Coturnix japonica: one gene and its partners. The protein of the gene in region 3 interacts with the protein of the main gene of each other region in a pairwise test. Links are inferred from orthologs where the notes say so. Each region holds a gene or a part of one and is shown on either strand. Other genes may lie near its edges. The genes, in order: MTA1, FAM102A, SH3GL1, MAL2 and SH2D4A.

What was found.
Region 1: the proteins of SH3GL1 (region 3) and MTA1 interact in binary tests that used the Homo sapiens proteins (3 or more experiments, as listed by UniProt). The two-hybrid records come from large-scale screens. The link is inferred for Coturnix japonica from reciprocal best matches to the Homo sapiens genes SH3GL1 and MTA1.
Region 2: the proteins of SH3GL1 (region 3) and FAM102A interact in binary tests that used the Homo sapiens proteins (3 or more experiments, as listed by UniProt). The two-hybrid records come from large-scale screens. The link is inferred for Coturnix japonica from reciprocal best matches to the Homo sapiens genes SH3GL1 and EEIG1.
Region 4: the proteins of SH3GL1 (region 3) and MAL2 interact in binary tests that used the Homo sapiens proteins (3 or more experiments, as listed by UniProt). The two-hybrid records come from large-scale screens. The link is inferred for Coturnix japonica from reciprocal best matches to the Homo sapiens genes SH3GL1 and MAL2.
Region 5: the proteins of SH3GL1 (region 3) and SH2D4A interact in binary tests that used the Homo sapiens proteins (3 or more experiments, as listed by UniProt). The two-hybrid records come from large-scale screens. The link is inferred for Coturnix japonica from reciprocal best matches to the Homo sapiens genes SH3GL1 and SH2D4A.

The regions. Positions count from the first base shown.
Region 1 is NC_029523.1:3,943,573-3,947,086, forward strand, and holds part of MTA1 (metastasis-associated protein MTA1), read right to left. Parts: intron 3,431-3,514; coding exon 3,313-3,430; intron 1,799-3,312; coding exon 1,696-1,798; intron 1-1,695. UniProt on the Homo sapiens protein: Transcriptional coregulator which can act as both a transcriptional corepressor and coactivator. Acts as a component of the histone deacetylase NuRD complex which participates in the remodeling of chromatin.
Region 2 is NC_029532.1:3,586,135-3,590,275, reverse strand, and holds the start of FAM102A (protein FAM102A), read right to left. Parts: upstream 2,806-4,141; 5' UTR 2,654-2,805; intron 1,685-2,653; exon of another isoform or gene 1,621-1,684; 5' UTR 1,130-1,620; coding exon 984-1,129; intron 1-983. UniProt on the Homo sapiens protein: Key component of TNFSF11/RANKL- and TNF-induced osteoclastogenesis pathways, thereby mediates bone resorption in pathological bone loss conditions.
Region 3 is NC_029543.1:1,611,414-1,615,595, forward strand, and holds the start of SH3GL1 (endophilin-A2), read right to left. Parts: upstream 2,813-4,182; 5' UTR 2,398-2,812; coding exon 2,326-2,397; intron 1,362-2,325; coding exon 1,293-1,361; intron 1,183-1,292; coding exon 1,110-1,182; intron 371-1,109; coding exon 227-370; intron 1-226. UniProt on the Homo sapiens protein: Implicated in endocytosis. May recruit other proteins to membranes with high curvature.
Region 4 is NC_029517.1:122,955,382-122,958,895, reverse strand, and holds part of MAL2 (protein MAL2), read right to left. Parts: intron 3,166-3,514; coding exon 3,007-3,165; intron 536-3,006; coding exon 464-535; 3' UTR 1-463. UniProt on the Homo sapiens protein: Member of the machinery of polarized transport. Required for the indirect transcytotic route at the step of the egress of the transcytosing cargo from perinuclear endosomes in order for it to travel to the apical surface via a raft-dependent pathway.
Region 5 is NC_029519.1:30,066,571-30,070,084, reverse strand, and holds part of SH2D4A (SH2 domain-containing protein 4A), read right to left. Parts: intron 3,426-3,514; coding exon 3,278-3,425; intron 794-3,277; coding exon 577-793; intron 1-576. UniProt on the Homo sapiens protein: Inhibits estrogen-induced cell proliferation by competing with PLCG for binding to ESR1, blocking the effect of estrogen on PLCG and repressing estrogen-induced proliferation. May play a role in T-cell development and function.

The DNA of each region.
Region 1 (3,514 bases), on a different chromosome or scaffold from region 3:
TCAGCACGTAAAGTGCACTGCCTTGTAGGACACGACATAGGTGATCCTTCTGGATTTCCAGAAAGCCAGACATACCATCAGCTCTGACTGCTACATCACCATGCTGACTAAGCTGAAGGCTCAAATATCCACAGTCAGGTCAGAGAAGATGACAGCCTTAAGCCAGGCCCCATACCAGTTTGAAGACAGTGGAGCACACTGCCAGTCTTGGCTGGACTGTCCTACCACACCCACCATATAGTCCAGATTTGGTACCTTCTGATTTCCATCTATTTGGGCTGATGAAAGATGGGCTGCACAGGCGCTTTTTTCCTAGCAACACCACCATCGTAGCAGCTGTGAAACAGTGGGTCACCACTGCTGCTGCAGATTTCTATGAGCGTGACACACAGGCTCTTGTTCATTGCTGGAAAAAATGCATAGCTAATGGTGGTGACTATGCTGAAAAACAGCATTTTGCAGCTGAGAATTTGCTCTACCAAACAGCGTTATTGTGCTCTTTGTATCTGTTGCAGTTTCCATAGAAATAAAGAGGAGGCACTACTTATGGAGCACAGAAACTTCTTGTCTTGCACACTTAAATCTCCACATTTTAACTCAATTCTCCTTAACTCTGCCCTTTTCTTTCCCCCTAGTATTTTCCTAAGTCTGTATCATTCAACGCGTTGAAAGCATTTATTATTGTTTCATAAATGCATTCTTTTTGCATCATTCAACAGCTCCAATCAGAATTAAGAGTCCGTTCCAGACAGTTTCTTCCACATGAGCTCTCATGTTATCTCCTCAGGAGACACCCCATTAACTAACCCACTATAGACACAGCAATACCACACCCAAGAAAATTCAAGAGGAAAGTTCAGCAGTGTGGTAACTCAAGATGTGTGTGCGGAGTGAGGGGGGGGAAAACACACCCCCTTCCTCCCCATATCTAATAGCAACTTGCTCCACTGACTATAGATGGTCTAACTAACCATCTACTACTCACACTGCTTTCCTCCCATGCTTCCGCAGTCTTAAAAACTTACCCAGGAGACAGTTTGGAGAGCACTACCTCCTTGTTTAATTGTAGACATTAACTTTTAGTATCAGCTTCTGTTCATATAAACAAACAACACTGAAAAGGGTCACAAGCATTTTATAAAGCAAACACTGATGGACAGACCGCCTTGCGTTTAAGTAGAAGCATAAAACTCACCACTCCTCATCTGTACTCATCCACTCCTCATCTGTACTCATTTGCAGGGATTTACTTTATTCGTTCTACCTGTTTTCTAGTGCCTAGATTCCAACATCTTCGCTTTTAACTATTACAACTTAACTATCATCGCATGTTGAAACGTGGCTGGATTTGAAAAAAGGGACAAAGTGGACTCTAATGAACTGTCAGGAATTCAGCTCACTGCTGGCCAAAGAACTTGGAAAACCTCACCAGATACAGGATCATTTTCACATAAGATAGAAGAAAATGATTAACTTTTTGAAAGTAAAAGCTGTAAATCCAAGTAGCTGTTCACAAAGTCATGCAGTTCCCAGGAAGGCATGTTAACACGTCCATCATTTCAAAATGAAACACATGAATCAAGCAACCAAACCAGCATTCGTACCAGTAAAGTATAAAGAACACACCAAAAATAAAGTGCTTAGAAAAGATGAGTTACTAAAACCTTATTCAAAGAAGTGATAAATTGCTCTTACCGTGCTACCACCAAGAACTGGTCTATCTGCTTGTCTACTAGTGGGTTGAAGGCTTCCCAAACTTTTGTTTCAAGTTTTGACTGATCTCTTCCATCATCCTCACCTGGTTGAAAAACATGTTAGAAACGCTCAGCGTGGCTGTTTGGAAATAAAATTACTTGCCTGGTTTCTTATCTCACAATTATTTAACCACCAAATCAACTCAGATACTCTGCCTTGACAGTGAAAATTTCATTCATCCATTTGGCTGAGACAATTTCAGCTTGACAGATGCATCAACCCAACTCATCCAAATTAGGCCACCGGATGCTGAAGAGCTGATATCTAATGGCACAAGTGATGGGAAACAGAGCACGTCCTTCCCCCAAACAGCCTCCTCTCTTCAGCCTCCTCCCCTGATTCTCTCTCCTTCTCCTCTACCTGGCCGCAGTTCCAGGAAAGCAGGCACACTCCCAGCTGCTCTGAGCAGACAAAGGGTAGCTGGCCCTGTTTGCAGCAGCTGCTTTCTAAGGGGCAAATCATAGCATCAGATTCTTTTACTTCTACTCTCCCAATGCTAAACAAACCAAAATATCTTGGAAAAAATACAGGAGCTGAGTCTCTCTTTTTAATTTCAAACCCCTTTTGAAACATCTGGAGATTATCCTTCTCTGAATTCCCATGTTGATGGCTGAAGGAGGAGAATGCCTTTCAAATTAGTTCATCCTCACTTAGGAGGCCAGCCCAGCTGCCAAATAAATGCCACAGACAAATTAAACAAGAGTCCCAACCAATTTGTTGGCTTATTCTAACATTAGCCCAACAGTATCTGTTTTATGCATCTGCAAAGCTCTGAAGCAGACTGAGGTGCCTCACTGCTTTCACCTCTCTGCCTGGGGAGTTTTGTAGAGCCCCTTTCAACATGGCTCATAACACCAGCTCTCTGAGAGCATCAACAGATTGGCCTGAGCCCTACACAGGTCTCAGAGAAGAGCTCTTCCACCCATTGCAGTGCAAGAACCAGTGTGAAGCTGGTATCTGTTAACTAACAGCCCATTTTCCTGAGCATGTGTCCTTGTGTTCCTTCTGCTTCATGAGCAGGGCAGGCTGAGGTCTCACAACGTGCTCAAGGCAGCAAATTCCTCCTGCTTGTTCTGCAGGTGAGAAGTCTAGGCTGGAAGCCAAGAGCAGCAGACAGGCAGGGGGCTCTGAGGAAAAGGCATCCAGCAATAATGGGCAAATTGATGTGGGGAGACAGCATTTAATTGGCAATAATTTGGGAGCGGCTCTCACAGGGAAGCGAGGCTCGATTAAAAACACAAAGGCTATACAGATGCGATGGAAATCTGTGCTTCCCATAGAAATTCTGAAATCTCCTAAAATGAGCGCAAGCTCTGAGAGAGGCAATTAATTCAATTTGTTTCAACAACTTTTATGATTTGGACAAATGCCCGCTTAGAGCCTGGGCTGAGACACAACTAATTGCATGCAGTGGGCAACTGCTTCAGTCCCTAACAAACCAAAGCAGTGATGCACACAGGACGTGGTGGTAGGAACCTCTGTCTCCCACACAGGCTGCATACATAAAAGTGGCTGCATTCCACATGGCCTCCTGACAACTTAAATTATGGAAATTACCCTCTTTTAATAAGTCTGTTATATCTGCCTGGTATCTGTTTCCAACTCGGATTTCTCCTTTATCAGCAAGTAGAGTCTTTTGTTGAGGATCGTACACTAGTGAATAGAAGAAGAAATCCTAAAAATAGAACAAAAACAGAAAATAAAGTATTACTAGCTTACATTTTTACCATATTATATATAGTAGAAAGCTTTTATGCTA
Region 2 (4,141 bases), on a different chromosome or scaffold from region 3:
GAAAGCACAATGCACTGCACCACAAAGAGGAAAATCAGACCAAACCAGGTTTTAGTTCTGGTCTAAAACACTTACCAGCAAACATAAGCACACACTGTACCTTTAAAATTGAGTAGTTACTCAGGGAAGTTAAAAAACAAGTTTGAATGCCATGGAAGGTTTCCTTCACATACTGGGGCAGAAAGAAAGCAAGTCCAGGCTGCTATGGAATTCACATTTGCATACTGCTGGTGATAATCTATGTGCACAGCTGGAAACAAAGCAGGTTTTTATTATTAGCAATTAGTAGCAGGTCTGCCTGAAGGAGCCTGAGAAACGCCGATAGATGATGACAGAATAACCTTATAAACCATGTGGCAGAATGATACCCATACGATAAATCATTAAAAAGAAAACACTGCAGCTATAAACTGGGGAGATGCAATGCTATTTGTTCATGGAGATAAACTGTATCTTTAGCACTGACAACTTTGACTCCAGGCAGCAGTTTTCCCTTGCACAGCAATTTGCAATGCAAAGCAAGCTCCTGACACTCTTATCAAGAAAAGTAACTTTGAAACACACGGAGAGCACAAAGCTGGGGAGGGTGATTTGCTTTTATACATGCAGCTTCCTACAGAGTTCATTTTCGAGCACTGCACGAAAGCAGGGCAGCACAACACCTAAAACAGCACATGAAAACATGGAAGGAGGGTGTTTTTATGTGGACTTCAACCAGAAAACCCAACTCCTTCAAGTGTGAGACCTCCTACACCCTCCCCATGTCTCTGTAAATCACAGCGCAGCTCTATCAGCCAACAATCTCCAAGCTTAGTTCTTCCCTGTATCTGAAAAATGATACGGCACATGGGGCCCCCAACAGAACAAGTGAAAACAGCTCAAGGAATAGGCAAGTGGTAGCCATATGCCAGAGCACTTGAGTGAAGAATAATCACGAAAATAAAAAGAATGGCCAGGAAGAAAATTTGCAAGCAGGTTCTTACCTGGTAGATAAGCTAGCAAAGTCACCTCCATCTAACAGCCTGATTTTGCAGAACAGGACCCCATTCACAAAGGGGACAGCAGTTAGCTCTTCGAGAGTAAAACATGTCTGAAACTTGAATTTCTTCTTCTTCATCAGGAAAGCCATGGGCAAATTCAGCGTGGAAAGCCCAGGAACTCCAAACAAGATGAGAGAGGAGTGGCTCAAAACACACACAGACAAGGAAAGGAACAGCGTTTGTTCCTGGAGCGTAAGCAGGGAGTGAGTTCCAGTTCAGTTACAACGACGGCCCAGCCTCAAATGCACGATCTTCTTCTCTTTGGTGGTCGGATCTGGCTGCGGGATCATTGCCACGACAGGCTTCAGGTGAGGAGGAAGAGGTCAGGTTAAATCTCTGCAACATCTCCAAGGGAAAAGGAAGGGTGATAAGGAAGTCTCAGCTCCAGACCAGCAGGAGCTGTCCCAGTTAGAGGCTGCAATGCCCCGACTTCAGCAGGACCCCTCCAGAAGGCATCTCTTGTAGGAAATCATCGTGAGTCTCTGAAGAAGCCTTAGGTCTGTGTGCAGCACATACACAATGCTTCCAGGTTCTCTCTCCTCTTCCTGTGCTACACCTTGGTACAGGTCCTCAGGTCAGCCTTTGGGAGGGAAATGAGTAAATTAGTCCCAGGCAGTCTCAGGCTCCTCCTCCTTCTCTAAAACCTGTTTGGATGGGTAATATTCAGCACAGACTCATGCCAATCTTAAGAGGTATGGCCCCAATTAGCCAGGTCCCAATACCCTCTTTCCCCCATTTGCCTGGGGCAAGCTTCGCTGCTGTCATGCCCCTCATAATTCCTGTTTTGCAAAGCAGCTCATAAAAAATCTGTTCTATTTTCACCCGTCATCTTCTGAAGCAGTTTACAGCCCACATCAGTCTAACCAGCACACGTAACTCTGTCTCAGGAAACGCATAGTCTGTTTCTTTTCTGTTTTTCCGACCAGCCCTAAGTGTTAGCACCTGTATCTCATAAACAGAGAAACCAGCAGAGGAGGAAAAGAGAAAGAAAAAGCAGCCTGCTCCAGATTACACAGCACAACAACCAAATCAGGTCATCGGGTGTCCATCTGCCAGGCCCACTGAGCTGAACTGCTTTACAGCATCAGCTCTGCACCAAGAAGTGACCCAATAACTCCCTTTGGGGGCCAGCAACAGTGGTTTCACTACATATTTATGCAACAACCAAGCCATGGAGGCTTAGGGCTTATTAGCATCAAAAAGCAACGAGGCTATAAACACCGAGCAGCCGATACTGAGAGCTGCAAAGCAGGGCTACGTAGGGCAAAGCTGCCTGCAGGGATACGCGGTTATAACCTCACTCCTGCTGCTGTAGGAGAGCAGGGAGGCTCATAGAGACCCGCTGTGCCCCAGGAGCCGTGCTGCCCGTGTATTGAGCCGTGCTGCCCGTGTATTGAGCCGGGTCTCGGCCTGCTCCCCCCCCTCACTCAGCTCCCCAGGCCTCAGACCCACACACTCGGCTGCCCCAAGCTCGCAGCCTGTCCCCTGCACCCCCAGGCCAGCTCTCAGCCCCACTCCCAACCCTTACCCAATGGTTAGACCCGCAGTGGGATCTCAGCCCTCCTCCCAGCTCCCATCCCGGCCCCTCGTCCCTCTTGCCGCCCCGCTCGCACCTCCTGCCCTCACCTCGCTCGGCCGCCGCTGCTCCCCGCCACAGCCGCCCCTACTAGAGTTACGCCAACTGCGGCCGCTACGCCAACGCCGCAGGCAGCCCTACGACAGCGCAAAAGCACTACCGCGCTTCGTGAATACCAACCCGACACTACGTAACCCCCCTTCCTCCCCGGGGACGGGGGGAGGGGAGGACGAGAGGCGCGCCACCTGATTGGCAGCATTTAAGAGGCGGGACGGGAAGAGCGAGGTTTTGATTGGTTCTTCTAGAGCGGGGGGGGAAAACAGGGCGGGGATTGGAGGAGGTGGATGTCGGTTCAAGGCAAGCCCCGCCCCCGTGGCTGAGGGAGTGGGCGGGACGAGGGGGCTCCGTAGTGGGTTCGGGGTCTCCACAGCGGGCGGGTCGGGGTGGCCGTTTGGGGCGGTCCTGGTTCACATCGGTTTGGCCGTTTGGAGGGTTCTGGTTCACATCGGTTCGGCCCATGTGCGTTCACTCAGGTTAAACAGCTCTTTAGGCGGCTGTGGGGTGCGTGGGGCTCGCTGAGGGGACAGCAGGCCTGTGCCCATGGAGCTGGGCCTGAGGTGAAGTGTCTGTGCCTCCCTGTGTGCTGCAGGTGAGGTGATGGCAGCTCTGATATCTCTATGTCCTCCTCAGCATTGCAGGTTGGCAGCCTGGCCTCCTTCACCAGCAGCTCTCCAAGGAAAGGCCCAACCAGACTCACTTTCCACGTGTGAGATGTGGTAACCAGCAGAACACATCAGCCAACTGTGCTTCCCTCCTGTTATTCCATCTGCTGCCCCGTCCCGTGCTCGGGGCTGGGTGCCCTGGTTAGGTAGGATTCCATTGTTTAAGGGCAAGCGGAACAAAATGTCTCTCCTTGTCCTGAAGGAGGCTGCAGTCATTGACGTGATTTGCCTATTTGTAAAGTCAGGGATGTGTTGCACAGAACTCACACGGTAGGGACTTTTCCCAACGCTGCTTTGCATGTCTGGCAAAGCTTGGATGAGAGCCTGGGATCCCTCGCTTTGCCAGGCTTTGATGCCCAGATTCCTTCCCTTTAATCTCTGCCATCTATACAGACAATACCAGAGCTATCAAATAATGCTACCGCAGAGCGAGCCTTTAAAAGGAAAATCAGCTAGGAAAAGTACACGGCAACATGTGTGGATGGAAGATAAAGGCTGGATTAGAGCAAACGCTGTCAGAGTTCTTGCTCACCAGGTTAAACAGACACAAACCTACGCCTGGGAAAGCATTGCTGGCGTTGGCGCAGTGAAACCATTGCAGGAGATGTCAGTGTTTCCATACTTGTTTGTGGAGGCTGCTTTTAAAGGCAGTGCCTGAATCCATCCCATCAGTTGATACCCAGTGTTTTCAGGGCCTCAGGACACTGATAGAAATGGGCTGGTTTTTTGCTTTCTGTGTCTTCTGTTATTGGGTAAGAGCTCAGCTTCTAAATAGGTTATATTTGCCTGGATGGGATGCCTGA
Region 3 (4,182 bases):
TGGTTTTGGTTTAAGAAATGAGGCACAGCCGCTGCCATGCATTTGCTCTGAGACTGCTATAGATCTGGCACTCGTTACTGGCCTGGACCAAAGGCACATGCTGCTAAGTGATACAAAGGGTCATAGAGCCCTTTAGGAATCCAGAGGAACAGCTTGGAAATTTGGCACCGGACTTTGCTGTCTCATCTGCACGTTCCTGGAGGGAGCAGCCCCACGGGGCACTCACCAAAGTTGGAGTCCTCGCCCAGCTCCCTGCCGTAGCGGATCATGCAATCCCCCAGCAGCCCTTCTGACTGTGGATAGCCTGGGCTCTTCACCTGCCCACGGATCTTCGACATTGTGTTCAGCATGGATAGCTTGGCTCTGGAAGCTGGCAAAGAAACAGCCACAGCCGTGTTTGTAATTGCTTGGACTTGCCAGCAGCTGCTGGTCACTGCCAGCACTTCACTTTTTTTAAGTGACTCCCAAAGCCAAGAAGTGCTATTGTCATAATCTACCAGAAATATCACTTGCTACGAAAAGTAAAGTTTCTTTTCCAAGGCAGCAAACAAATATAGATCCCTACAGCTAACTGGTGAAGGCCAAAGGAGTTTCCCCAGCCCTCCCATAGTCCCTGGAGCATTCTCTGAACAAGCTGCTTGGAAACACACAGGGCAGCAGGCTCTGGAGGTGGTGGTTACAAAGCCAACCGACTCTTCCCAACCCAGAGATTATATTTTTTCTGGACACCCTGGTAAAAATAGGTCCCCTCCAGATCTCTCCTAGATCCAACGTTAAAGATTTGTCTGTTTTATTCACTGTTTGACAGCAACAGCAGTGTCTTTCAGCCCAGAAATACATCACTGGTCGAGATGGCTTTACAATCACAAAGCACCTGTGAGCTAGGGTAGGACCTCATTAGGCTCAGACTATTAGGAAAGCCACAGGAAATGTACAGGACAGCCCAGCATACATCAGGTAAAGGTAGGCAGAATACCTGATAACAAATATGGGCTTGGTGGCACACCTCAAGGTCGTGAAGTTTCTCTCTGAGGTCTCTCTGCACCTTCTGCCTATTTCCCTCTTACCCTCTTTGGGAGGCAAAGGATAGGAGAGGTCCCACCACTCACCTGGGTTTGGCTGCAGGTATTCTATTGTTCTGGCCAGTACTTCTGTAACTGCCTTGCTGGTCACATCCACTTTCTGTAGGAAAACAAGATGATCCAGCAGCAGTGAAGATCAGTTCAGGATTTTGGCAAGGTCACAGAAGGTGACATGGGTGATTTTAGGGATTTCTCCTATCTCTTGCTCACCTTTTCCATTTCCCTGAAGTCATCGTCAAGTTTGGTCCCTTCTGCCCCTCCAACCTTTTCACTGACAAGCTGCAGAAAAAGAACAAGGCAGGAAGAATCAGGCATGGTAGTGGCTGTTTACCTCATGCAGAGAGGTATAGAGTCCTGGGGATGGAAAGAGAACAGGGGTGGTCCAGACAGCGCCTGCAAGAGAAAGGAGGCAGTAGGAACAGCCCAAAGCATGGTAACAACACGTGGCTCTTTGCTAACACTGTCCCATTAAACAATCTAAATGTCCCCTACCCTCCCAAGGCACCACAGCTGAACCTTCAGACATAGGCAGGATATTCCCCACCTGGCAGAAGCTACAAAGCTCTTTAAATTCATAAGCACAGCTCCAACTCCAACGCTTGCTGGGAAAAGCAAGCAACAGCATTGTCTCTCAACTTTAATTTCACACAAGGCAAAATGCAAGTAAACAGGGAATTAAGATACTCTGCTTGCAGCAGCCAGTACAAGAACTAAGCTCAGAAAGAACCACTCAAAGCCTTAAACCACAACTCCTTGCAATCCAGATGGTGAGAGCTTAGGATCTAGGGCTCTGTATTTCAAGATTTTTTTAAAGAGAAGGATAAAGAGATTTACAGAAGCTACAGGAAAACGTTCAGATCCAATTATCAAGGTATCTCTGACGTCTGTTCTAAAACAAAGTGAACACGAGATGTTTGACACAGCTGGAAAGGCAGGGTTGCTTTTGGCTATCTGCATGAAGGGCTTATCGGCTTGCTTCAAAATGCCATTTAGTGTAAGAAAAGACTTCTTCCCAAAGCTTCACCATTCGCCTTCCTGAGCTCAAAGACGTGTGTCAAAAGTGCTTTATTAAATCCAACTGAAGAAGTGTCCTTCCATGCAACCCAAATGGAGGGGGATATCTCCTGCCCTGTTCCCTCGTGGCAAGGCAACACCTGGGGTTCAATAGACTGGCCAGAGCTACCTGCAACACATCCACAAGCAACTGCCAGGCCCCAAAATGGGTCCGTGCACACTAAATTACCTCCACAGATATCAAAAGTGGTCTAGGAAATGGCTGCTGCCTCCCAAGCTCTTGATGCCCGCCACAGGCCATTGCCAGGATTCCTCGTGCTTGTAGTCAAAACTCCAGCTCTGGACAAACAATGAAGGTTTGTTTACTTCAACATCAAATACCTGATTTTATCAAGTCTTTCTTCCTGTGGTGCCCATGGGGACTCAGTGGTTCCTTAGTTGTTAGAGGACAAGGAGAAAAAAAAACTCTTTAGGCAAACATCCAGTTCCAAATGCACTTAGAGATACCCCATAAGGTCCGTGTGACTGCACTCACTGGGCAGTGCTTAGTTCCAAAATCAAATGATGAGCTGCAAACCAAGGTGTTGGGCTGAGCACTGACTGCTATGGCTGATATGCTCCTCGTGCCTCAGTGGATGGATATCTGCAGCTGCTCAGAGCTTCAAGGCACGCAGACATTACAGGGAAGAGGCTTAGAGAGCAGACAGCTCTTCTGAATGACAGCTCTGCACTGAGCAACAGTAGCATAAATCATCCCAAGGCCAAAATATCCTTTTAGAGCAAGAGTTTGAAAGAACTGAGATAGAAGGCAGCAGCCTTTCAGGGCCTCACTTCACCTGGGCAAGGGCTTTTTTCTCTTTCTGGGGACCTCAGATGTTTCACAAAGAGATCGCTGTGGTTCCTCTGGGCATTTAAACACTGGGGTCAGTGCTCTCCAGGTTCATCCAGCCCAGCTCTCAACTCTGGATTTCATTTTCAGATGGATGCCCAGATGGATCTTCACACATCCCTCTGTGTGTGCAGCCTCACAGTGGTCCATGCACAGCCCTCCTGACCTCACCAGCTTTCTTTCCAGCACCTGAAAGAACATGGGAAGTGCAGGACTATGGATTCAGAGTGTGCCAGGAGGCAATAGGGGCTCCAAGGGGTGTTATCACTGCAGAGCTGCCTGCAGATGGGCAAACAACCAAAACTTGAATTCTTGCTTTTTTTGGATCTTTGCTCTGTGCTTGGGGTGCCAGCACACACTTCTGCCTGCCAGCTCTGAGCTGGGGAAGTACACATTCCTCTATGGAGCAGGGAAAATAAACCACAAAGCGGTTGCTCTGCTTTCCAGACCCTGTGTGGGCACTCACTCCCAGCTGCCACCACCCACTCTTGTGCTTCTATGCCAAAAGACAGCTCGCTATGCAGCCTCCATGACCAGAAAGGGGCTTCTACACAGCCCAGAGCAGCACCTCCAGAAAGATCCTTCCCTCTGCAATAAACCTGAGAAGAGTACAATTAAGTGGAGTAATTCCATCCCTGCTTTTCTCCACCCACCCACAGATTGGCAGCCCAGAAAGCTGCAAATACTGCCTCTGATGGGGAGCTCTGCCATAATCAGGGACTGCATGCCATGTTGTACACGGTGATCACCACAGTGATTTTGGAGGCTTAGCACTCTCTCAGAGAGCACAGAGATGTGAAGGAGGAAAATTCGCTTGCAGGCTAATTTAATCCTCCTTTTGACATCCAAGAAATGCTACTGGTGCCCTGCTGTGAAGGAAGAATAAGACTGAGGTTTTCTCCCTGCTGGCTCTAATTAAGCTACGAGGCTTCATCTCAGGAGGAAAGAAGGAGGGACTGTGTGCCATCTCCATTCCAACAGTCCCAAATCTGCCAGGCAAGAGGACAAACTAATGCAAGTTCCCTCCTTTGCCAGCAAGGATGTGAGCCAGGGACATGGCCAGCTTAATGTTAGCCCACAGCCGTCCCTACTGGAGAAGGGATCTGATCAGTACTAATCAATATCCAAGGGGAAGGGGTCAGAAGGATGGGCTCAGGCTACGTTTGGTGGTGCCCAGTGACAATACAAGGGACACCC
Region 4 (3,514 bases), on a different chromosome or scaffold from region 3:
TAAGACCAATGACTCTACAAAGAGCCTCAAGGTCCTACCTGTGTGGAACACACTGTAATGCTGCAGCACACGTAGAGCTCAATCCTAGGCCTTAACAAGGGGGTAGCTCTTTTAGCTGCCTATGCAGGTAACATGTCTGTTTAGTTTCAGTTTTCTTCCTGTTCTTCTGGTTTAGCACCAGAATTCGGTTATCTGCTTGTAACATCTGTTTATCTCTGAACTCTGGATTACAATTCAACAAACAACGTTTCTAAGGAGTTCCCAAAGAAAGTAAAAAATAAAAAAGAGGAAGAGACAGAACCTTCTGTTAAAGAAATCCTGATTAAGGGTTATTTGCATTTCAGCACTTGGAAACGAATTTTAAGCAAAAAGTCTTTTTTGGAATTACATTACAGTAAAACAGACAAGTAGTACTTAATTTGATCTGAAGTTGAACTCTTGGGAATCAAAGTCTCTTCAACTGCTATAGCTTCCATCTCCTCAAAGCCAGGGCTGTGCTGAAACCATAACAAACAGCTGTTGCAAAGGCAAAAATCTAAAGGATGAGCAGGGAGAAAAGAGAAAGAAGAGAAAAAAAGTGAATCACACATTATATTGCTCTACATATTTTTTTCTATTTTAAATTAGTGTAACAACACAAACGACTCAAAAGGTACCCCCCCAGTAGTAAAGACAGACCTGGTATCATCTGAAGCCTTCTCATAAACTCTGTTTTAAGCCCACCTTATTGTTATTATCTTAGCTGCTAGCTGCTGAAGATATTTTGACATAGGATATAAACAGAAGAGGTTGTGTGTTATTGTAGAAATTAAGCGCTTGATATTTCAGTTTCCTCTTATCTAGACTGAGAATCTAAGATTAGTATTTCATTAGAAAGTATCCAGGTAAATGCCTTTACTGGCAAACAATGAACGAGATGTCCCTCCAAACAGCAGAGCCTTTTACTTGCAGAAAGAAACAGTTGGGCCTCTTCAACCAGAGAAAAAGACATGACAGATTGTTGAGAAATGTCAGGAAGATGCTACAGCTCAAGAAAATGAACAGATAAGAACTGTAGATAGTGCCACGGCAAAAGTGAGTATGTAACATAAACAAGAAGGGAGAAGTTAGAAACTGAGTTGGAAGTAACAAAAATGTCTCATATTGTCCACTACTGATCAAGGACACTTTCTCTTAGAACATATAGATTTGATCCAACGATAACAACCTTGATTCCACACATGCACTGATTTGATAAATCAAGGTTTGAATAGATCCTAGGAGTATTATTCATAAAAGCAAAAGATACATTTTAATTGCAGTATACACAACTAGAAAGTCATTTTCAGATGGAAAAGTTAGCAAGGCCTTATCTTATTTGTTTGTAGACTGTTTTACTGATGTGTTTCAAAGGGTCACTTTTTGTTTATTTGTATGCTCTGACTTCCTAATCAGGTACTTTTAATTAAAAAAAAAAAAAAAAAAAAAAAAAAGAAGAAGATACTAAAAACTACATCATTTGATTCACCATCTCCCACCATCTCTTAATTAACAGATAAGGTGAGTTACAAAATCACATCCTCTTACTTCATCTGAACAAAGATCCAAGGGTTGTGAAGTACTGAACTCTTCTTAGAAAAGAAGGAGAGTATGAAAGAGGTAAAGAGTCTTTGTATTCCTCAGTACTTTGTTGTTGGAGAGACACATGAGTTACCACGTATCAAGTAAGATCTGAACACACTGAAACAAGGACTGCGGAGCTACTTTGAAGTATGGAATTTGAGACATGTAATTAATTCAAAGCTCTCCACCAGTTTAGACACAGTTGAGAGACATCATCTGTCTACCAGCCATGGTCATACAGGAATTTGTGCTGGACTATGTCACAGGCAAGTGGGTAATGGTGAGGAATTTGTGTCTTGAAGACTGACATACTCAATTCACTCTTTCAGAGCCTAGCTTGCCAAAGTACAAGGCCTTTCTTTCCTAATCTTGAAGAAACGGTGTAACTCTTAGACGTTGGGTTCATTCATTTTGACCCACTCTAATATGAGCTGAAGGTATTTATTGTGTAAAATCTACGGTTATCTAGTTCTGAAGACAAGAGATACCCCCAAAATGATTCAGAAACTTAATAAATGTAGGAAGTTCCTTTAAGTATGTGAGATGCCCTGGAAGATACAAATACAAACAAACAAATCCCACAGCCCAAACTCAGAAACACAACAATAACCAAACCAACCAACCAACCCAAAACACAAAACAAGCAGCAGTTTCAGTTCTTCCAATTAATTCTGCTGGCACACCACTACTTGCCATTCAGGAGTCCAGCTAGGGAGAAAGCTGAAGGTCTGTGTATTTTCTGACTCAGCAATGAACACACACATCACCAGATATGGTGATTCAGTGATGATGCAATTATAGTGATAAAAAGGCAATCTGAGCTTAGCTTAGAGAGCTTTATTGATTAATAAAAGCTCTCTAATCCTTGCCACAGGAGATAGCACGCCCCTTGCAGCTGCTTTTTATGCTTGACATCAGAAAATATGTACCTGGAGCTTTATAAGGAGCTAGTCCAACATTTTTCCCTATGGCATGCTCAGGACTATCTAAAAGGTATCAAAACACCCAAGCAATTACAAGTTTGAGAGCAGGCTTGAAAGTCATACCTGACACTTTGATGAAGGCTCAGTTTTCATCTTTTGCTTCTATTTCAATACCTAGCATTATTTTTACTAAATATCTCACCTAAAAACTAGATTCTGTAGTAATCACAGACTTAAAACACTACTGTAAACAGTACCATCTAAGCATCTATCTCGTTAGGCTCCATTAACAGATCACTGCACTTTTTTTGCATGCCACTGTAAGAATGGCTGATTATTCCAGAATGTTTGCTGCTTTCAAAGACTATTTTCTTCCTCACAATCCCTCTTCCCATTCCAGCGCAGTTCCCAAGTTGAAAGGCTGGTTACCAGTGCTTACATCAGAATTCCACTGCTAGGTACAAGTTCATGAAATACATACCGAGGCTGCTATGCTTATGTTATATTCATGATCACCCAGAATAGTCACAGATGTGGTGGAATTTAATCTGCGAGGGTAGTGATGCAGGGATGTAGTTGCTGCTTGCAGTAGAAAAGCTCCAAAATAAAAGACAAAAGTAGCACCATGGAAAAGGAAGTCCTGAAAAGCAAACAACAGGTTCAGTCCAGGCTGCTATACATATCTAACCCTTCTAGTCTCAGCATAAATGAAATCCAACACAGAAACATGAAACAAGCAGTGATAATAATCGTTCATAAGCAATGCTTAAGCACAACATATTTTCATAACTGCCTACAATTATAAGCAACTCAACATAATTAGTAATAAAGGGCAGCCCTCCCTCTCCCCAAACCCTGCATTCTTTCAAATTAAGAGGCATGTACTCATCTACAAGCACGTGTGCTGACCTTTTCAGATCACTTTAAAGCTAAAAGTGGGAGCTTACAGAATTCTCCCCTAGTGAGGCTTAGGTTAAAAACAGGGGACA
Region 5 (3,514 bases), on a different chromosome or scaffold from region 3:
GGCTTACAGTAATGCAGCTATGAACAAAATTGTATGGTTTTCAGTGGACACCTATCAAAGAGGACGTACTACATATTTTAGGCTTAGGGTGTTCTGTTATATAAACTTGTCACTGAATCTGACTTTCACATATGGCAAAAAGAGAACTTGACTGTTGGAAAATGCCTTGTACCTCTACGAGCTCAGTATAATTGAGAGGCTGGGTGTTTGGAGAGATGGCTAAGAAAGGCAGAGCTAAGAGAATGGTGACTAGGAGCAACTGAGATAGTTGAGGTGTTGGACCTGAGGGCTTGCTGATTAGCAGCTCTCATGATTTAGGGACATTTCTCTCAGTTGGGCAAAAGCAAGCAATGCAAATCTTGTGATGCTGGTACTCAGTAAATGTGCCATTGTCTTTGTTTTTAGTGCCACAGTCTTCATACCCTATGCTGGAATATAGTTTAGCCTTCTTATTTTTCCCAGTAGAGTGTTTCCTCTGTATGAAGAGAACAGGCATCTTCATCTCAACCAGCCCTTGCCAGAGCAGAAGTATCTCATCCCCTTTCCCTTCCCTTCAACAGTGCACATTTTTCTCACCTAACTGCTCTGCCATTCGTCGTCACAGGAGGTAGAAGTTTAGGCTTGGGTGGGAGAGGAGGGTATTGGAGCGGTCGCCGATCTCCTGCTGTGGCGTTCTTGGATATGTCTGCCTGCTTCCCTCTGTGGGCTCCCTGCAGTGAAAGCCTCCTGTAGTCATCTCTGGCCTGTCGTGCGAGGGAGCGTCTCTTCTCATCTGCTGCCTTGGATTTCCGCACTGGAACAGAAAAGCAGTCATACTGGAGTGAACAAGCAGGCAAGTTCTGAGCTTGCTGCTGCTTAGCCATCTCTCTGATAGCTGGAGGTGAGAAATAACGCATTTCGGAGCATTTAGGTTCTCTCTGTGTCCCAGCACTAGGAACAAACAGTGTTACTGTGGAGGGAGAGAGCTTTGGAACTAAGGTACTTCCTCTCCTCTATTTCCAAGCAGGCATCTTAGGTTGCTTGTATTGGAAGTCATTTATCTTCCTCGCAAGCCTTGAGTGACTCAGCTACTCTGGCCACTGAATGAAAGATTCACTTATCTGTAACAACGTTTGTTACCTCTCTCCCATCACTTTTGGGCATCTACTGTTTTAAAAGAACCCAATTCTTATTCCTTCAACAGATAAAAATCTGGGTTCTAACTTTGTACTTAGAAATGACTTGGTTTTGTTTCATGTGACTTGGTTCAGTCATAAATTTCTGTGATGCCTTTTGTGTGAGCGGAGACCTGAGCAAGAAGGAACAGTTATCCAATCAGGTAAATAAATGTTTTCAGCTGGCCCACAGACTTTTTGGAATGAAATTTGGGAGGGGGGGGGGGGAGGAGGGAAGCACAATTACTTTGTCAAATTAAAATCCTCACTCAATTACAAATTGTACCATTATGTCTTTCTTGAAAAGCTGGAGGGGTGGGAGAAAGGAGGATGGGAGAAGCAAAGGGCCCTTCAGCCTTTCATTTTAATTTGTGCACTGAGGCAGTCCTTGCAATTTTGATAAGATCAGGAGTTAGAGAGATCTTACACTGCATGTGGTAAGATAATGTTGGAAAAGCCACAGCAATACATGAACAAAAACATTTGTTTCTATTTCCAGGAGACCGGGGAGGCAAAAAAATTGCTGAAACGACCACTAATGAATCCTCTAAAGGATTTGAAAATCCTGATGGGCCTTGCAAAGAGAAGGGAGTGTTGCTGTAACTGTTTTGTGGAGTAGAGAACTTAGCTGGATATTATTGTTTGTTTGTTTTTGTTGAGTAACTGGCTCTCCAGCCTGAGCTATGCTTAGTGATTTCTGTGCTTTTGTAATCAAATTCAATTTTTTAATTAGAAACAAAAAAGGTTTGGCCTAAAGTGGAGACAAATGATAGTACAGTATTGCCATCTACTGAACAGTGAGGGAAAAAAAAGCATCAAGTTTGACTTCAGTTTTCTTTCTCCCCAGGAAAGGAAGATGTGAGGAGCAGAACGTGAACCTGGATGGAAACAAAGGCAAACAGAGTGTCAGGGTGTATCTCAATATCTTCTGTGTACTAAGCTTGTGACCCTTTGTTCCAGTCTCTGAGAAAGCTGCACAGCAAGATTCCCTCAAAAGGAGTCAAGTTTGAAATATCTTTTCAACTCAGGCTACACTGAAAAATCACCTTTGAGGTATGTGGTTACTATGAGAGATCCTAGAAGGAAATGTAGTCATCGTAATAACTTAAGTAGAGAGTTCAGGACATACTTGGCAGCAGTGGTAGACGTTAATGTAAGTCTTACACTGTTTTGTCATTTCTGATCCAGTTGTTTAAATCTTTACATTAGCAATGTGTGGCAGGGCTCTGGATCAATGAGATTTTTTTGTGTCTGAAATGGAACCAGATGAGAGGACTGTGCCTCGCAGGGAATCATAGAATTGCTTAGGTTGGAAAAGACTTCCAAGATCATCAAGTCCTACCTCAAGGAAGGGAAGGTAGAAAGCAGGGAGATTTGGAGTGGCCCCTTTTTTGTGTTTTATGCAATACTTTTTTTCATCTTTCACATTATTTCTGAGGTCTCAGATCAGCTTACCTCACCACAATACAGTTCTGTTGTGTAAGAAGGAGCCTTACTCAGGCCTCAGGATCTTCTGCACAGAATTAAGTAAGTGGCAAAAGCCCTCCCCACTCATTTCTGATGTCTGAAAAGTTTGCTATCAACCAGGTGCTTTTGAAATTATGCCTTTTAGTTTGTCCTCACTACCTATTATTCTTTTCCACATGAGCAACATCTACTTCAAGTTTCTGCCAAGGGCCTACTTCTAGTTTAAAATTAATTACCCTGGCTACGCTCATGTGGGTCCTATCATTTTCATATGGTATCTGAGGGCTGTCAAATGCCAGCAAGACTCATTCTGCTTGACATTGCTTAATATTTAAATCTATTATCTTTCAATTAAAAACAAAAGCTCTTTAATCGAAATACAGAAGAGACTGAAAATGGGAAATATTTACAAGTGGAGAATTTTCTGTAGGATAAATTTGCCATCTCACTGCCCAGCTCTAGTTTCAATGCTGTGTGGACTCGGAAAATTTTCTGATGCTGCATCTCTGTGTTTTTTGACAGTACTCTCTACCTACTAACTGAGAAATACTGAGTTCCAGTTTTGCAGGAGAATGACTGAAATGACCACTCAGAGCTCTAAGATTTCTCAAGCCCTATAGGAAAAGTTCTTACAAAAGATCATCCTAAGATCTTACAGGATTCTTGCCATTCAGGCTCATTCTCATCAGATTTCTGCAACGTCTTCTCTGAGCATGCATGGCTTTGTGGTACATGGCTTTGTGGTATTGCCTTCAGCTGGACTGTAGTCTCTTCTCTTGAATTTCTCCTGTGTCCTCCCTTCATCTGTGAAAGAAATGATGTGTTCAGTGCTTTGTCCCAGGCTAGTTTTAGTCCTGCTTTTTAGCTAGTTTTGAAAAACTAGGGATTCCATT